Linked DNA regions of Sus scrofa. The protein of the gene in region 3 interacts with the protein of the main gene of each other region in a pairwise test. Links are inferred from orthologs where the notes say so. Each region holds a gene or a part of one and is shown on either strand. Other genes may lie near its edges.

Region 1 (3,514 bases), on a different chromosome or scaffold from region 3:
CCAGGAATTGAACCTGTGACGTCATGGTTCCTAACCACTGAGCCATGACGGGAACTCCCCCCCTTATATTTTTTAATTTTAGCAACAACAATAGGAGGTGTCTTCGTTTTATAGAAGAGGAAATAGAGATTCAGAATGGTTTATGTAACTTGTCCCAAGCTCCCATCTAGTGATTGGTGATGTCAAGATTTGAACCTGTGTCTACCTGTGTGGACTGTCTGGTGGAGGATGCCACTGGTGCTGGAGGATGAGTTTAGCAGACACCTGAGGAATAGTGAGAGCTGGAAATGGGGAGGGAAAGCTAAAGTTCTGCCTCTTGGAGTTCCATGGCTCAGCAGAAATGAATGTGACTAGCATCTGTGAGAAGGCGGGTTCGATCCCTGGGCTCCCTCAGTGGGTTAAGGATCCAGCTTTGCTGTGGCTGTGGCTGTGGCCGGCAGCAGCAGCTCCAGTTTGACCCGTAGCCTGGAAACTTCCATGTGTTGCGTGGGCGGCCCTAAAAAGAAAGCCAAAAAAAAAAAAAAAAGGTCTACCTCTTGACATTGCCTTTCAGAATGGAATCCAGACAAACAAGCCAGCTCTGCGGGCTGTCCGGCAGCGCAGTGAATTCACCCTCATGGCCAAGTGAGTTGAGAGTAGTTTTGTGGTGGGATGACTAGCATCTAAAGAGAAGTAGCCTTGCCTGTGGCCTGGGCTCCAGGGGGGCTGGGGTTGGTGGTGCTGGTGCTAATGTGGGAAAGGCCCTCTCCTTCGCTTCCCCGCAGCGTTCTCACTAACTCCCGTTTGCAGGCGCATTGGCAAAGACCTCAGCAACACCTTTGCCAAGCTGGAGAAGCTGACAATCCGTGAGTGTTCTTGGGGCGTTGGAGAGCTGGGGCAGTGAAGGAACCAGAGAGGGCTGAGGAGCCGGACTGCTTGAGCCTTGTCTTCAACCTCACCTGTCATGGCCTCTTGTTTATCTCTGTAGTGGCCAAGCGCAAGTCCCTCTTTGATGATAAAGCAGTGGAAATCGAGGAGCTAACTTATATCATCAAACAGGTGAGCACCTAGCGATCGGGAAAGCCCAGCACCCCAATCAGATCACTCCCATCATTTTTCCCTGCTGTGGGAGCAAGTTTCTAGAGCCCGCCCCCAACATCCTGCTCATCCATTGTGTCAGTAGGCACTTAGTGGTCATCTACTGTGTACAAAGCACTGTGCTGGGTATTTGCTGCATAAAAGTTACGAGGCAGGATTCCTGCTCTCCAGAGCTTATTGTCAGAGTTCCCCTTGTGGTGCAGTGGAAACGAATCTGACTAGGAACCATGAGGTTGCAGGTTCGATCCCTGGCCTCACTCAGTGGGTTAAGGATCCAGCGTTGCCGTGAGCTGTGGTGTAGGTCGCAGATGCTGTTTGGATCTGGCGTTGCTGTGGCTCTGGCGTAGGCCAGCGGCTACAGCTCCGATTTGACCCGTAGCCTGGGAACCTCCATGTGCTACGAGTGCAGCCCTAAAAAAAAAAAAGAGCTTATTGTCTAGAAAAGGTATCCGCCCCCATAAACACACGCAGTGAATAGGAGGCGAGTGGTACAGAAAAGATATCCTTTTCTTTTTCCTTTTTCTTTTTCTTTTTACAGCTGACCTGCGGCATATGGAAGTTCCCAGGCTTAGAGGTCGAATCGGAGCTGCAGCTGCCAGCCTACGCCACAGCCACAGCCACATGGGATCTGCAATACATCTCTGACCTACACCATGGCTTTCAGACCCACACTGCTGCTTGTGGCAACTCCAGATCCTTAACCCAATGAGTGAGGCCAGGGATCAAACCCACATCCTCATGGACACTATGACAGGTTCTTAACCCGCTGAACCACAACAGGAACTCCCAGAAAAGGTCTTACAAAAAGATAAATGAGATAGTCCAGGGACGCTGGGAAAGATTTTATAGAGAAGGTGAAATCTGAGCTGGTTTCAAGGCTCGTATAGAGGCAGTGGAAGAATATTCCAGAAAGAGGAAACAGTGTGTGCAGTGGCATGTCTCGTAAGAGGGAAAATTCCGGGCTCTGCTCGGAAGTCACCTGCCCAGGGAGGCCTGCTGTCACTGTACTGTTCAACACCCCCGCACCCCAAACTCTGATCTCCCTTCCCTTGCTCTGTTTTCTTTCTCTTTCTTTTTTTTCGCTTTTTTTCTTTTTTAAAAAATTAATTAATTTTATTACATTTATAGATGTACAACAATCATCACAACCAAATTTTACAGCATTTCCATCCCAAACCCTCATCTGTTTTCTTTTTTTATAGCATTTTTATGTACATTCTAATGGTTTCTGTGATTACCTTTCTTATGTTTATGGTTTGTCTCTGTTTCCTCCCACTTACCTCATCTCCCTCAAAAAGAAAAAAAAAGTGTGAATGCCATAACGGCAGAGATTTTTCTTCCTGTTTGTTTATAGATGTATCCCAAGTGCCTGTAACAGGGTCTGGCATATAGTGGATACTCAATATTTGTTGATCAGTTGAGTGACTGGCCGCAGATAAGGCTGGAAGAGTAGATTGGTAGCTGGTTGTGAAGATCACTGTGGGTGGACACTAGTCATATTTGTTTCCGCTGAGCCACAACAGCAACTCCCTAATAGTTTGATTCTTTTCTTTCTCAGAACAATGTAATAAGAATAAAATGAGAAATTGAATCATCTTCTTTTTTTTTTTTGGTCTTTGTGCCTTTTCTAGGGCCACTCCCACGGCATATGGAGGTTCCCAGGCTAGGGGTCTAATTGGAGCTGTAGCCACCGGCCTACGCCAGAGCCACAGCCACTCGGGATCCGAGCCACGTCTGTGACCCACACCACAGCTCTCGGCAACGCCGGATCCTTAACCCACTGAGCAAGGCCAGGGATTGAACCCGCAACCTCATGGTTCCTAGTAGGATTCGTTAACCACTGCGCCATGATGGGAACTCTGAAATTGAATCATCTTAGGGTAAAAAAAAAACAACCCTGGAGCGTGGATGAACTGAGAAGCTAGGGAGGAGACTCGTGTGATTGCCAGTAGGAAGGTGATTATGGCAGAGGCCAAAGGGCAGACACATTCAAGAGATGCTGTGCTGAGACCAAAAGAGAGGGTTCCATTAAGTCTTGGGGCGTTATTGCATAGGCATTTAAGAACCACTGACTGCGGGAGTTCCCGTAGTGGCTCAGCGGTAATGAACCCCGCTAGGATCCATGAGGATTCAGGTTTGATCCCTGGCCTCCCTCAAGTTGGTTAAGGATCAGGCATTGCCACAGACATAACTCGAGTCTGGCGTTGCTGTGGCTGTGGTGTAGGCTGGCAACTGCAGCTCTGATTTGACCCCTAGCCTGGGAACTTCCATATGCTGTGGGGTCGGCCCTCAAAAGCAAAACAAAAGAAAACGAACAAAAGAACCACTGACTGGATTCAGACAGACTTCAAAACCTGGGCTCACCACTCATGGGTAAGCTACCTGACTACCCTGAGCTTCATTCCCCTTATAAATAAAAAGGCCACAATAATAGTAC
Region 2 (3,514 bases), on a different chromosome or scaffold from region 3:
TTTTTTAGATCCATAAAGCAGTACCCACACAGGCATTTGTTGATTTAAAGTTGACTTTTGTTTGCATTTCATTGGACAGAGCCCATTTGCAAGTCTCACTGGGAGATCTTGGAGACAGAGTTCCTTCCTAGCATTGGTTAAATTGTACCACGCAGGCACCAGCCTCCACCACTACCTAAAAGGCTGACCCCAGAGAAGATGGCGTATGCACAGCGGGAGAGCTCTCTATATCACGGTGATGGGGCGCTCGTTCAGAGGTGCTAATTGTTTCTTCTGCCTTGCCCTCGCAGGCCCTGCTAGGAGACAGTGGCGGGCAGAACTGGAGCACTGGGACGACGGATAAATATGGGCGCCTCGACCGGGAGCTCCAGCTGGCCAACTCCCATTTCATCGAGGAACAGCAGGCACAGCAGCAGGTACCTGAGACCCACAGCTGAGGACAGGGAGGTAGGAGGTGGGGGCACCTCCCTCCGCTCCCCTGCCAGCAGGCCTTTGTTGCTAATGACAGGCGGGATGGACCCGAGCTCGCCCTGCAGCTGCCTGAGTCTACCTGTGTGATGATTGCCTGTATCAAGGGTGTTTACAGCTTCCTTCAGAGCATGACAGCTTGAAGAGAACCAAGCTTGATTAGATTTCTTAGGACAAGCAGACCAGACACCCAGAGCTAACAGAGGCCATTGACTTAAAAATAGTAGCCTCTTCTGCATCCTCTACTTGTGAGCTCAGCTTTTTGTTCATTTCCACAAAGGCACTTTCAGAAAAATTGAGTCTTTGTTTTTTCATTGAAAATTATTGTTGGTTCCATTATACATAAAAAGTGATTGCTTTGGTGGAAGTTAAAGGGTAAAAGGAAGGTGAGATTGGTTACATCTGTATAATTGCTTCTGCTGTGCCGTCATATTACTAAAAGGAAGCTAATGGTAAAATGTCTGGGCATTTGAGGATTATCTATGTGTCAGAACTATTGGTTCTTAAATATGGTGTTTCCTGTATACCCATAAGTTACATGTTCCTCTTCCATTAGCACATTGGCCTAACCAGTTGTCTACTTAAATCTCTATTAGCCAAGAAAACTTTTTTTTTTTTAATAAAAAGTGAGGAGGCTAAAGTAATTCTTGCTCAAAAGTTGTCCTGGAGGTAACTTGCTGCCTCAGAGCCTCTTCTAGTTTGTCCTTGAGGAGGGAGCAGTAGACTCTGTGTGCATGGTTTTCTCACGTCCAGAGAAGATCTGCCAGACTTTCTCTTGTAGTTAAGCTGTGGCTGGCTGTGGCGGATTGAGACCTTGACCCTGGCAGCGGGCTTCCTTTTCCCAAGCTTCCCCATGTGTCTCTGGTCACTGCACAGGTGCTTTTGCCTATTGTCTGCTCCTTGTTGGACTTCAGCCAAGCAGGGTAAATCTCCCTGGGTGGTTTCAAGCCCTGCTGACTGTTCACAAGTTGGAGCAGCAGGGGATGGCCATAGCTTGACAACCCAGCCTTTTGAGCAGCATGTTCTCGGAGGCGACGGTCTGGTCCTTTGATTTCTGGGCTTTGCTTCTGAATGTGAATTGTCCCGAGTTGGCAAAGAAGCTAGCAGCTGCTCGGGTGCTGGGCTTGGAATCAGGTAAGATGGATTTAATTGCTTATTTCCCATTTCTCTGGCACCAGCTGATCGTGGAACAGCAGGACGAGCAGTTGGAGCTGGTCTCTGGCAGCATCGGGGTGCTGAAGAACATGTCCCAGCGCATCGGAGGGGAGCTGGAGGAGCAGGCAGTGTGAGTGCTGAGACGCCCCTCTTGCTGCAGGGAGGTGGGGAGGACCCCTAAAAAGCCTGACAGTTACATGGCTAGAAAAACCAAAAGCTGTTTTGTTTATAGCTGCATCTTTATTCTGTTTTACAAACTAGCCTCTCCAAAAGAAGCAAATCTGTCAGATGCAATTTTCAACAGGGTTTAGGCAAAGTTATTAATATTTTTAAACACCTGAAAAAACAGGTGCAAATTCCTCTGGACACTTGAAGTGCTGTTATGAATGGACATGTGAAACTGATAATGGCTGTGTGACCTCTGGAGATACTTGTCCCAAAGAGGAGAGGACCTAGGTCACCTTAACATCCTGTGACTCTCCAGCTACACCAAATAGAACTTTTTGCTCTGCATCTTAAATTTTGATTTCCATAAAGGAAATAAAGTATAAATTTAGTTCCCATTAATAAAAAAATCTTCCTCCTCCAAAATAAAAAGTGAAAACACAAAAGACATAACTGGATTTTTTCGTTTTTCCTTAAGAATGATCTCTTTGTGCACCCCACCCATCCTTTTTTGGCCATGCCCACTGCATGTGGAAGTTCCCGGGCCAGGGATTTAAACCTGAGCTGCTACAGTGCCAACGCTAACCCACCGATCCAGCAGGGCACTCCCATGTGCTCCTAAAGTATGATACCCAAACCAGCATTCTTAAATGATGCCACATAACACCCTATTTTACAAATATTTTTTTCTGAAAAAAACAAACAAACAAAAAAAAACGCAGTTCTGCTAGGATATTTCAGACACTCTTCTACCTCAGTTTTGTGTTCCACATCATAGATTCATTCATTACAGATTCAAACTGGGCATCTTGTTCTGTGGGAAGTCCTCTGGTATCCAAAGAAGAGCCAGGAGAATAGACGGTGTCTCTGTCATCATAGAGGCCACTGGATGGATTGCTACAGGTCATTAATGGTGACAGAGAAGTGCAGGGTGCCATGATGGGGGAAGTGCGAGTGCCTGGAGAGCCCTGATAGCCTAAACTGCAGACCTAACGTCTAAAGTCCCTGAGACGAGAAGAGGGGTTAACAGGGACTGGAAGGATGAGTAGAAGGCAGCCAGGCGGGGTGAGATTGGGGGTGGGAGGAGGGAGCGGAAAGGGGGTCTAATGAAAGGACGGAAGAGCCCCTGTGACAATTCAGAGCTGGAAAAGTACATGGAACAGAGAAGGTGAGTGTGTCCAGAGCATGGGGATTGAGAGGGATGTTGCAGGAGTCAAATCAAGGAGGCAGAGAACGGATCAGAGAAAGCCTTAGAAGCCATGTTAAGGAGGTAGGACTTTTTATGCAAAGGGTAATGGGAAATAGAACCCCAGCGAAGGAAGGCTGTTGTTAGTAATGCCATGATCGGGTTTACCTTTGGGGGGAAGCCCATGTATCTGTGGTCTAGATGGTGAACCATAGTGGAAAAGACCAGACGCAGGGAGACCAGGAAGCTGGCGGAACAGGAATCTAGGCATTCAGATTAATTTGTCTAAAATGCGTACCTACCCTAAAATTCATTATGGGAATAGGAAAGGACTAATTGCTTGAGCAATTATCCATGTGAGGGAGACAGCAGAGCCTGGCGGACATCCATTTAAAGATGGTGAAGAGAACACAACCTTTCATCTCTGCTCCCTCTCTAAAGTCCACTGGAATAGTGACGGATTAACTTTTTTTAATAGCATAAAACCTGTGGAACATAGAGCTTCAAATAAGAAACAAAGGCCATAACAGTGTAGATCCT
Region 3 (3,966 bases):
CTGTGTTCACTGCTGCCTCTAATTTCCTGCCTCCTTCTTCCCCAATACTGCTCCAAATTAGCTCTTTGAAGTCAGAATAACAGATGCAGTGAAAGTAAATAAACTCTGGGATCTGAAGCTCCCTTCAGTCTGGAGTGCCTGCACTGCAAGCTCTGCAACATTTGCTTTAGTGACCTTTCTTTCTAGGAGTTTGGCCCTTCTTGCCTTTCTCTCAAGACAGCTTCATTTTCTTAAATGTATTTTGTGTGCCAGTGCCCACAGTGTATTTATTAATAGTTTGAAATTGTCACAAGTTCTCATTTGGCAGTGGTTTTCATATTTGCTTCACCACCTCTGCTTTAGCATTGCCAAATGTAAATGGTCTAGACTTTGTATGAAAAAATAACTCCCTCTGGGACAGTCCTGGAAGTTGCTGGCACACAATAGCCCCTATCTATGGATACCTCTCCTGGGAGATTCGAAGTCTTCCTGGCAGGGAGAATGGCTGTCCCAGAGGCCCACCCCACAATATGGCCAACATTATGTAAAGAGCAAGAGAGCTCAATTGCTCACATCCACTGAAAAGAATCCAGTCAATAAAAAGGGAGAATTATGCACATATTGCATATGTGCAAGTCTTCTATAGCCTAGGAAGAGACGCCTGACAGATCTAAACGCCTTGCTCTGGAGAAAAACATGGCTCTTCCTGCAGCTGTAGCTGGAGCGTGGGAAGATGGGCCAGTATCACAAGGTTTGTGCAGCTGCTTGGGTGGCCGCCTTACAGCGTGCTCTCAGAATGCAAGCGGTACAGTGGAGCTTTCCAGCCTGCCACCCGCCGTCTCCCGGTCCACGCCGTTATCCCGCGTCCCATCCATCCCGTTATCCCGTGTCCTCCCCGTCCATCCCCTGACCACGGTCGGTCGTGCTGGGCAGGGACTCCTGAACTAACGTGATGCTAGTGTTTGAGGCGGTCTTCCTTGGAAGCCGTGGGAACTTTTCCATTTCCCGCCTCCTTAAACTGTCAATACTCTCCTCGGTAGAGGGCCCTACAGAGGGTGAGGACCCCGGTCCCGAAGCCCCTGCCTCCAGCCGGCTCCGCGGCCTTCTGGGAGTTGTAGTTGACGCCTCGCACACTCCCGCCGCCAGGCCACCGCTCGGACTACAACTTCCGACAGGCTGCGCGCCGCGCCTGCGCGCCCCTCCGCTGCCAGAGGACGAGGCGCGGGAGACGCGTTCGGCTCGGGAGTAGCTTGTGGAGGCGGCCGCGGCTGTCGACATGGACAACGCAGGGAAGGAGCGAGAGGCGGTGCAGCTGATGGCGGAGGCCGAGAAACGAGTCAAGGCCTCCCACTCCTTCCTCCGCGGGCTCTTTGGGTGAGCGCCAGACCGCGCGGGTCCTGAGGGGAGGGTTTCCATTCCAGGAGGCGGCCCACACTTTACTCAGGGTCCCCGGGGCCTTCCACGCGCCCTTCAGGGGTCCCCTAGGATCCCCCGGGCACCCACAAACCTTTGGGGACCACCGAGCTCCCCCCATCCCCCCACGCGCACGCCAGGAAGTCTCTCCACCCCCCGGCCCCGCCCCCACACACCCCAGGGATCCCCAAGGGCACTCTATAACCCCCCCACACACGCCCTCCTGGGACCCTCTCGGCCACCCCGACACTCTCCAGGGATTCCCTAGGACCCTCAAGCGCGCACCCTCCCCGACCTGGCGTTCGTGGCCCTCCCCACCGCAGCCACACGGGTTTGTTATTTCTCCACGCGTAGCTCAGGAGACCTGAGTGGGTGGAGGCGCTGGGAGGGTGGGCGGCGGGCTGGTGGTGGGGCCTAGCTTCCCGCATTCCACCACCCTGTGCCCGCGCCCCTTGCGCCAGGTACACATTTAATAAATACCCGTGGGAGGAACGAGTACGTTTTCTTCGTAGAAGGTTCATGTGAAACCCAGCCCAGGGCTTCCTACGGATTAAGGATAACGTAGCTCCTCTTTTAAGTCTGCGTCTTTGGGGAATCCCGTCCATTTTCAGTGATTCTTCTGTGCTTTCCTAGGGAAGGTCTTAAATTCGGACTTCCCAAAAAAGCAGAGCCTGCACTGACAGTTCTTGGACAGTAGAATATGTGAATGATTCAGCTGTTTAGGATGAGAGAGGCGGAAAATTCGTGGTGTTTTTCCGTTTTTCCCTTTGGAAAGGGAAAGATCCTCTGCGGACACCCAGAGCAAGTTTTTATTCTGAGGAGGACCAGGGACCCATCCTTAACTGTTGCGCTATTAGACACAGGTTTATTTCAGTTTAGAACCTGCTCGTTTTGCCACCCTCGTTCTTTTGGTTGTAATACTTAATCGTTGTTGAGCATCTCCATGAAATGCTAACTGCAGGTTTCACGCAGTGCTGGAGTGCGGGCTCAAAGGTACCAAAGGTCATTTATCCCAGCTGGTTTCTCAATTTCTCAGGTGATGTGAAGTTTGGATTATAGCAGTGAATTATAAATTTATTCCCCCCTTAAAAGTTAGGACAGTACATAAGGAGCCACTGCTTCTTACTTGATGGGAACACCAAACAAGAGTCCTTTCTCTGGTTCACAAAACAATTACAATTTATTCAATAAAATTTAACCACATAGCACCTCATGCCTAGAGGCAGTCTTAATGGCTCAGCATCTCAAGTCTGCATGGGCTTCCCTGGATGAGAACCTGTAATTGGCAGGGGAAAAAGCCTCAGGCACTTGATGCTTCTCAGGGGAGTGCCCCTTTCTATGCGGAGATGTTGCGGTGCTGTTTTTGTCACACTAGGCCAAATCTTGAGCCAGTAATTCTAAAAGGATTTTGAAAAGGCTTTTTGTTTTTAGAGAAAGGTCTTTTTCCTCCTTGACTGTTGATCACCTGTTTCGTTGGCAGGCTTTGATCCTCACCTTCACACTCAGTTTGCAGGAAAGTCAGTGCATCCTAGGTTGGGCCTGGATCCAGCAGGTCAGTCTGTCATTCTTGCTTTGGGCCTGGGGCATGTTCATTAGCCCCTCTGTGCCTAAGTTTCCTCTGCTATAAAATAGGGGTCACAGAGATACCTCAGTGAGTGAAGGTTCCAGGAGTATATGCTTGTAAAACATTGAGAATCATTAAAGATGGAGACGGTGAAATATTCATTAGCATATTCATTAGAATTGTCAGGCCCAGTTATTTTCAAGGAAGCAGAGAGCCAGACAGATCAAGTGGCTTTGCCAGGATTTCAGAGTCAAAGACCTTATGGACCGGATCATCAGTCTTTTCATGATGTAAAATATTTGAAAGAGCTTTGCCCCATGTAAGTGGTACTTATACTACGAGGACTGTGTGTTCAGTAATACTGGGCTCCAGAACAGCTTGGGGAAGATGCGTACTCAGTTCTCTGAGAGCTAATAGCATTATATAACTCCTTGAATCCAAAAACCAGGCCTGACTTTTCTGTTACTGTTGTGGGAAGAGTGATTCTGCACAGTGTTAGGTGTTTAGGATCTTACGTTACACCTGGCATCACTTGGAGCTGTCATCACCTTCTTAGGCGGGGGCACATGTCCCCCTGCCTCCCATCCCTCAGCCAAAGAATTCCCTGTCTGCTTGTTAAGCCACAGTGAACTCCATCTTCATGTCAGACTCCTCGGTAACACTCAGCCACAGAGTATCGAAGTATCACAAAGTCCATGTGCTTAAGAGCCAACAGTTGTGCTTTGAAGAGGGCAGTTGATGCTGCTTGGGACCAGGGCGGCCCTTACAAGGTGCCCAGCGGGCCACAGACCCCTCATCCCGGCTGCAGATTAAAACCTGATAGCAGTTGGTCCTCTTCACTCACTGTTGATACACCTCCTGCGCCAGTTTTGTGGCAATGCTGTATTCTCACTACTATTCTGTAGCGCTTCCTTTTTTGTTGCTTTCAGTAAAATTAGATGAAAACACGCATTATGTGTTCCGAGGAAAAGGCAGTCACACATTCTCCTATGTGTAAGATGCAAGTCCAA
Region 4 (4,285 bases), about 28 Mb from region 3:
CCGGGGTAGGGGAAACCCGTCCTGCCGGAGCCCCGAGCCCGGGGAAGGCGAGGCCGTTCCGCGATCCCGACCCGCTCAGGCCCGCGCGCCCAGCCCAGGCCGCTTCTGGCTTGGGCTTCGGCTCGGGGGCGCCCATAGGGTAACCTCCTGCCACCGGTGGGGTGGCCTTGGGCGGCTCGTGGCGTGGCCCCGGGGCCAGACACCCCGCAGGACTCTGGCCTCCCTTGCGGGGTGACCGCAGGGCCGCTGCCCGCCGCGTTCGGGCTCGGGTAGCTGGATCCCAACGCGCTCAAGCGGAGCCCCCTCCCGAATCCCGCCTATCCGGACACCCAACAGAGTGTCGGGGTCGTGGGGGGTCTCCCGGACCCGATCCGACTGCGGGAAAACGAGCCGGGGGCGCCGGGGGCGCGGGGCCAGGCTTGGCACGCGGGCCCAGGGGGTAGGGAAAAGTTGTTGGGGGCGGGGGGCTGTCGAAGTTTCGGGGAACTTTTCCACTTGAGATTCTACAACCCTGCAGTGCCCCCTACAGAAAGCTGCAGCCGGGGAGGGCGGGCGCCCCCCACGACCCCCCCGGCTGCCAGCAGCGGCGCGGCCCAGGCGGCCTGGAGCTCTAGCTGTAGCTTTGGCATTTTTTTTTTACCCCCCCTCCTGGTTGTTTTTCTGATACATCTTTTTTTTTCAGAATTGGAGAAAAAAAAAAAAAAAAAGCGAGCGCGAGCCGCCGCCTGCAGTGGAGCGTGCTCGGCCTCCAGAGGCAGTCGTCTCCAACTTTTCCTCTCCCTCCCCAACTCCGCGCGCGTCTCGAAACTTCGGCGCTGCTGGAGCCCAAATTTGCCTGCCGCTCGACTCCACTCTAATAAGCGCGCCAAGGCCCCTGGCACTTGTCTGCAACGTGGGGGCCACGCTCTCGAGGCTCAGGCCTGCCCGCAGGCCCGCTCCCGGTGCCTAGGCCCAGTTAGGGAAGGGGAAACCGAGCGGTCCCGGGAGCACCCCGGGAGAGGGCGGAGCGCGCCCGTGCCCCGGGGCAGAGGGGTAGGGATCTCCCGCGCCCGGAACGTTGCGAGCAAGGCTTGTGAACGTCGCAGGGGGGCACTCGCGAGAGACGGACAGGAAGAGGGCCAGGGGGAACGCCAGAACCCGGGACCGTAGCACGGAAACGGCCCGGGGCTGAGCAGCAGGCAGATCCGGGGATGGAGGGAGCCGGAGAAGAGGAGTGAGGAGGCCGTGGGGGCAGGCCCTGCTGCCCTCCTGGAGGCCGGCAGCCTGCTGTGGCAGTGGAGAAGCGGGCTGCCCACAAAGGGAAGGGGTCAGGAGGTCGGGCCCCGGCCCTAGCAGGCTCCGACAAGGCCCCAGTGGGGAGCAGCAGCAGCCCAGGGCCCAGGCCTGGCCTCGGGTTGGCCAAAGGGGGCCTAAACCAGGCCTCCCCGGCCTCTGCTGGGGGAACTGAGCCAGAGGCAGGCCTCAGGGCACGGCCCAGACGCGTGTGAGCCCTGCTAGAGCGAGGGAACCAGAGGGAACCAGGGCCCTAAAGGGTGTCAGAGACTAATGTGGTAGGGGGCTTCAGAGCCTCCCAGTCCAGAGCCGGATTGGCGAGTTAGACGCTTGTAGATCCGAGGTCGGATTGGGGAGGGGGTCTCTGGGAAGTTGGCTAGCAACGCAAGGATTGGGGGGATTTAAGTGCTTAGAGATCGAAGCAGGTCGTGGGGAGGGGGACTCAGACAATTGGAAAGCCTGGGCGGTTATTTGGGGAGGGGTCTTTGCGCTCAGAGGAAGCTCGAAGCAGCACCTGCTTGGCTAAAGGCCTGAGGCTTTGTCAAGAGAAGCTTCTGTGGAGGGGGGGGCCCGACTAGGCCAAGCTGCAAGAAAGAAAGTGAATAAACCTGGACTTGAAGTGGGTGGGGGCCCCTGAGAGGGGAATCACAAAGGGTGAGCCATGGCCACCAGGCGTTTAACCGACGCTTTCTTGTTGTTGCGGAATAATTCCATCCAAACCCGGCAGCTGTTAGCCGAGCAAGTGAGTAGTCACACCACCTCCAGCCCTCTGCATTCACGTAGCATTGCTGCGGTGAGTCTCTTGGCGGCCTCTCCGACACACGCCCCGTGTGCACTGCGGCTCTGCCTGTCTGTCTGTCTCTGTCTGTCTCTCTGTTTAAAAAAGAAGATAAGTCTAGCACGGAAGTGCAAGGTCTCTTGGCAAAGGTCCGAGAGCAGCGATAACCCTGGATGGGGGAAAAAAAAAAACAACAGTTTGAGGCCCCCGTTCCACCTCTGCCTTGCCCTCTCTCACTTCCGCATCCCTTCCAATTCCTCCCCCTTCCCCCCCCCAGCCGTCACTGCACGACCGGCCGCCTCCAATTTACATATGTTTTAGCGCTAAGATTTGGAAGCTTTGGGCCTTTTTTGTTTCATTTTGTTTTAGCCGCCCCCCCCTCCGCCCCCGCATCCTGAGCCTCGCTTTGGTTCTCAGGGTCGAGATGCAGGATCTCAGACCTAAATCCTTGCAAATGAACCATACCCTCCCCCAAACGAGGAAGGAGCTGGTGTTTTATTATTTTTTTTTTCCCCCCCTGTTTTCTTTTAATGGCCTCGCAGCCCTCTGGGTGGCCGTGTTCCCTGTGAATAATTGCTTCCCTGTTTTTTTCCTGGGGGCTCTTTTTGTGAGGCTGTAAGGTGCTAGCTTCCTCGTTTACCATTCCCAGACAGGAAATTAAGCGTTCCCCTCCATGCGAACTTTAAAAACAAAAAGACAAACAAAAAAACCAGGGCGTGTATGTGAAAATTAAACCCCCCGCCCCAATAGCACAGGGTTTTCTATTTAATTCACCTGAACCTTTCCTTAGCCCAGCAGTAGAATCTTTTACTGGGGAGGGCCTGGGAAGATGACTGTTGTGGGGGTTTGTTTGTTTTGGCTGAGGGTTACTTTCCCTTTTCTGAACCTCAGTTTCCTGCTCTGTTGAATAAGGGGGTGAGAGGGGGTGGGCTCGGGGAGAGGGCCTTGGTGGGCTCTGTGCTGTCTTGAATTGGAAGGTGAAGGAAGACCTGAAACTATAGTCTGTCGTGGGCTCCTTGCTGGAGCCAGGCTGAGTCTGAAAAGAAGCGCATTGGAGAAAGAGCCAGTGGAGTCTGGCTGAGACCGTATTCTTGGGGGTTATACTGGACACACTCAGTTTGGGGGACCTCACCCTTGTTTCACCTCTTAGGGACTGTTTTCCCCTTTTCGTTTTTTTCTTTATGACTTGATCTAAATGCTTCAGAAGAATTATGCCATCTGTCCTGCTCAGTGGCAGAGCGCCTGCAAAGGCAGTTTCTTCCCTTTTGTAAATCACAAGTGCAGAATGTCTTTGGCCATCTTGCTTATAGAGAAAAGCTGTTTTAAACTGTGTGAGCAATTTTAGGCATAAAATCACAGTCAATTTAGGTCAAAAAGCATAGAAAATGGGGTGTTTAGGCTTTCATTTGCTCAGGAATTTGAAGGTTTTTTACATTTGTACACTGAAAGAAATGGGATTTTATTGAAGTAAGTGCAAAAGGGAAAAGGGCTAATTCTAGCGCTGATTTTGAAAAGAATGTTCTGAAATAAGCCAAGACGGAGAGCGTAGAATTGAATGGGAAAAAAAAAAAAAAATTCCTTAAGGGAACTTTAGTTTTGTTAAATAGGATGTAAAAATTAAATGGTTCCTTAAATGGCTTGATTTTATGCTACCTCATGGGGGGAAAAAAAAAGCCAGAATTAAAACTCTTGTTAAGATTTCTAAGATATCAGTTTTAACTGATTTTAAAACATAATATTTGCCTTAAAATGTTTAATCATTTAAGGTTCAAAATACACTGAACCGTTGGATAGCAGGAGGCTTTTTTTCTTTTTTAATCATTGGGTCAGATGGTATAAAAATCTGGTGTCTAATAAGACGGGCAGCTTTTTAAAAGTGCATCTCTAAGTCAAAACCTGTTTTTAAAATGGTTTGCTAAGTTAGGCAATTTAAAAAATATATAAACTAAGTCAATTTAAAATATGTAGCTAAAATACACAATTTGGAAAAATAGATATGTCAGAAAATGCACAGATGTATTTAGCTATCTCCTACATATTTTTGAAAATAGATTTCTAACTCAAACTGAAAAAACATGTCTAAGGCAGAACACTAGAAAATATTTTCTGTGTATTACACCATGTAACATGTTAACACATATTGGTTTGACTATTTAAAATCTTTTTCAGATCATTTTTAAGCAATTGGATCATTTAAAATATCTTTGTAGTTGGTTCAGACTATTTAAAAAATAG
Region 5 (3,320 bases), on a different chromosome or scaffold from region 3:
TTATTAATGATGGCCATTCTGACTGGTGTGAGATGGTATCTCGTGGTAGGTTTGATTTGCATTTCTCTAATAATCAGGGACATTGAGCATTTTTTCATGTGCTTGTTGGCCATCTGTATATCTTCCTTGGAGAAATGTCTGTTCAGATCTTTTGCCCATTTTTCCATTGGGTTGTTGGCTTTTTTGTGGTTGAGTTGTGTAAGTTGCTTATATATTCTAGAGATTAAGCCCTTGTCAGTTGCATCATTTGAAGCTATTTTCTCCCATTCTGTAAGTTGTCTTTTTGTTTTCTTTTTGGTTTTCTTTGCTGTGCAAAAGCTTGTCGGTTTGATTAGGTCCCATTGGTTTATTTTTGCTTTTATTTCTGTTGCTTTGGGAGAAAATAGCCATAAGGTTGATGTCTGAGAATGTTTTGCCTTTGTTCTCTTCCAGGAGTTTGATGGTGTCTTGTCTTATATTTAAGTCTTTAAGCCATTTTGAGTTTACTTTCATGCATCACCATGAACTTCTGAGCCTATGGCTGGTTTCCCTGTGACCTCTCCCTCCACCCCTGTCCACTCTCCAGATACTGAAGGACACACAGGTGACTCGACAGGCTCTAAATGAGATCTCGGCCCGGCACAGCGAGATCCAGCAGCTCGAGCGCAGTATCCGTGAACTTCATGAGATCTTCACTTTTCTGGCTACGGAGGTGGAGATGCAGGTGGGCGCCCCAGGCAGCCGGCTGGGCTTGATCCTGCCCCCACATGTGAGACCTTGCTCAACCAGAACCCCTGCTGTGACTGTCCGCCCACCTCCACTCTTAGCCTCTCTCTGCGAGGCTTCTGTTCTCCTCCAGACTGGCCTGTACTTCCATCTTAGCTGTGCCTCCAAATTGCGTCCTCCTCAGGAGTTCCCCCTGGGGCTTAGCGATAATGAACCCAGCTAGTATCCATGCGGATGTGGGTTCGATCCCTAGCCTCGCTCCATGGGTCAAGGATCTGGCAATGCTGTGAGCTGTGGTGTAGGTTGCAGATGCGGCTCGGATCCTGCATCGCTTTGGCTGTGGCGTAGGCCGGCAGCTGCAGCTCCAATTCATCCCCTAGCCTGGGAACTTCCATATGCTATGGGTGCAGCCCTAAAAAGAAAAAAAAAAAAAGAAAGAAAGAAAAGAAAAATCGTATCCTCCTCAACAGCTACCCAGATGGCCACTCTTCTGTGCACTGCACCCCAGTCCTCAAACTTGAGCCCACCTCGGGCATGGCCCCAACTTTGGCTCCCCCTCCACTAACAGACTCCACCCTTATACCTCTGAGAGCACCTGAACTGCCCCCCAGAGGACCTGCCTCCCAGAACTTGCACAAGCATGGGGCGGGCGATGGTGTTCTTCTCCCAGCCCTGGTCTATAAGAGAAGGGGTGCTTCCAACCCCGTCCAGAAGGAGCTCTTACCCCGTGAGTGCTGGAGCCATTGCTCTTCCCAGGGAAGAGATTTTGCTCAGCAGGAGCACCAGGACCTGAAGGCTGGCAGTGCCGGGAGGAGACAGGGATCAGGGAGCTTCACAGCAGCTGGGAGTCAGGCCTAGAACAGGTGAATTCAGACTGATTTGTGAGGGGACAGAAGCTTGCCCTCCATGAAAAGATATGAGCCATTAAAGGCACCCAGCTCCCAGCCAGCCCTGCCAGTAGAGGCTATAGGTGGCAAGGGAGCAGGGCAGAAGGGACCACAAGGTAGAAGGGGGCTTGGAAGCCCCCTTTGGAGTGTGAACTTCGGCCAGATGTGGTCCTGCCTCCACTTTTGTTTTTTGTTTTGTCTTTTTAGGGCCGCACCCAGGGCATATGGAAGTTCCCAGGCTAAGGGCTGAATCAGAGGTGCAGCTGCCAGCCTACACCACAGCCACAGCAACACCAGATCTGAGCTGCATCTGTGACCTACACCACAGCTCACGGCAACGCCGGATCCTTAATCCACTGAGCGAGGCCAGGGATCGAACCCGCATCCTCTGGGTACGAATCAGGTTCTTAACCCGCTGAGTCACAATGGGAACTTCTCCATGCCTTTGTTAGTGCCCTGTTTTCAGCCAGGAACGCCCTTCAGTCTTGGGGCTGTGGTGGGCAGACAGAGGAGCTGCTGGGCCTCCACCCCGAGTCCCTCCTACCCGCCTGAACCCTCCCTCCTCTTCTGAGCAGGGGGAGATGATCAACCGAATCGAGAAGAACATTCTGAGCTCAGCAGACTATGTGGAACGTGGGCAGGAACACGTCAAGATGGCCCTGGAGAACCAGAAGAAGGCAAGGAAGGTGAGCGTCCCGCCACCCACTCCCCTGCCCTGGGGGGGGCTCTCTCCCCCCGCCCCCCGAGAGTTTCCCCGACCATCCCCCCTCCTCCTCTCCTACAGAAGAAAGTCTTTATCGCCATCTGTTTGTCCGTCACTCTCCTTATCCTGGTGGTCATCATTAGCGTCTCCATTCTGGTGTGACAGCATCGTGGATTCTCGGTGAGATTCTGTGGGGCCCCCCCAGCCTGCCCCCTCCCTGCCCCCAGCCTCTCCTCCTCCCCTCAGACCCTCTTCTCCCTCCTTCCCTTGCAGGCGCTAAGAGCACCAGGGACCCAGGGGCTGCCTTCCCTCCCCGAAGCCAGGGGTGGGCAGGACAGAGCCTCCAGCCCGACCCCTTCCTCACACTGGCCAGAGGGGCAGACGGTTCTTCCAGGGCCGGCAGCCACTCATCCATGGGGCCTCCCCCCCTTGGGCCACCATGCCTGGGGGCAGGCCTGCCGTGTCCTCTTTGGCTGGGACCCGTGGTTTTGTAAGAAATTAAAAAAAAAAAAAAAAAAGTTTGGAGAATCTCCTTTGCACATGTGTTGCTGAAAAGGCTGGTCCAGGGCCTCCAGGTCTCCACCGCCTTCCACCTCCTGGCCACCCTTGCGGACAGGCCCAGCCCAGGTAGCCTCAGATCAGACTGTCCTGGGTGCTGTGGCCATGCCAGCCTGCCACTGCCCTTCTACTCTCCCATGAGAACAGGTGGGGCCGGGAGGGGGTAACACCCACATCAACCCACTGTCCCTGGGGAAAGACCCCGTGACCACCTAACCCCACAGCAGCGAGGCTGGGCCAGGCCAGGCTGGACACGGGTGAGCTGAGTGTGTGTGTGTGGCATCTGAGGGCGCTGCTGAGGCCAAGAAGAGGCACTGTGACAAATAATTGCCTCTGTTAATTTTTTTTTTTTTTTTTCCATTTCTAGGGCCACTCCCACGGCATATGGAGGTTCCCAGGCTAGGGGTCTAATTGGAGCTGTAGCTGCCAGTCTACACCACACCACAGCAATGCAGGATCCGAGCCGC

What was found.
Region 1: the proteins of NAPB (region 3) and STX5 interact in binary tests that used the Homo sapiens proteins (3 or more experiments, as listed by UniProt). The two-hybrid records come from large-scale screens. The link is inferred for Sus scrofa from reciprocal best matches to the Homo sapiens genes NAPB and STX5.
Region 2: the proteins of NAPB (region 3) and STX6 interact in binary tests that used the Homo sapiens proteins (3 or more experiments, as listed by UniProt). The two-hybrid records come from large-scale screens. The link is inferred for Sus scrofa from reciprocal best matches to the Homo sapiens genes NAPB and STX6.
Region 4: the proteins of NAPB (region 3) and STX16 interact in binary tests that used the Homo sapiens proteins (3 or more experiments, as listed by UniProt). The two-hybrid records come from large-scale screens. The link is inferred for Sus scrofa from reciprocal best matches to the Homo sapiens genes NAPB and STX16.
Region 5: the proteins of NAPB (region 3) and STX4 interact in binary tests that used the Homo sapiens proteins (3 or more experiments, as listed by UniProt). The two-hybrid records come from large-scale screens. The link is inferred for Sus scrofa from reciprocal best matches to the Homo sapiens genes NAPB and STX4.

The regions. Positions count from the first base shown.
Region 1 is NC_010444.4:8,940,773-8,944,286, forward strand, and holds part of STX5 (syntaxin-5), read left to right. Parts: intron 1-553; coding exon 554-624; intron 625-789; coding exon 790-845; intron 846-967; coding exon 968-1,038; intron 1,039-3,514. UniProt on the Homo sapiens protein: Mediates endoplasmic reticulum to Golgi transport.
Region 2 is NC_010451.4:122,542,561-122,546,074, reverse strand, and holds part of STX6 (syntaxin-6), read left to right. Parts: intron 1-290; coding exon 291-416; intron 417-1,646; coding exon 1,647-1,753; intron 1,754-1,972; coding exon of another isoform or gene 1,973-2,009; exon of another isoform or gene 2,010-3,514. UniProt on the Homo sapiens protein: SNARE promoting movement of transport vesicles to target membranes. Targets endosomes to the trans-Golgi network, and may therefore function in retrograde trafficking.
Region 3 is NC_010459.5:30,393,295-30,397,260, reverse strand, and holds the start of NAPB (beta-soluble NSF attachment protein), read left to right. Parts: upstream 1-1,155; 5' UTR 1,156-1,255; coding exon 1,256-1,353; intron 1,354-3,966. UniProt on the Homo sapiens protein: Required for vesicular transport between the endoplasmic reticulum and the Golgi apparatus.
Region 4 is NC_010459.5:58,838,865-58,843,149, forward strand, and holds the start of STX16 (syntaxin-16), read left to right. Parts: upstream 1-1,476; 5' UTR 1,477-1,933; coding exon 1,934-2,014; coding exon of another isoform or gene 2,015-2,065; intron 2,066-4,285. UniProt on the Homo sapiens protein: SNARE involved in vesicular transport from the late endosomes to the trans-Golgi network.
Region 5 is NC_010445.4:17,421,762-17,425,081, reverse strand, and holds the end of STX4 (syntaxin-4), read left to right. Parts: intron 1-565; coding exon 566-703; intron 704-2,167; coding exon 2,168-2,278; intron 2,279-2,376; coding exon 2,377-2,457; 3' UTR 2,458-2,475; intron 2,476-2,568; 3' UTR 2,569-2,816; downstream 2,817-3,320. UniProt on the Homo sapiens protein: Plasma membrane t-SNARE that mediates docking of transport vesicles. Necessary for the translocation of SLC2A4 from intracellular vesicles to the plasma membrane.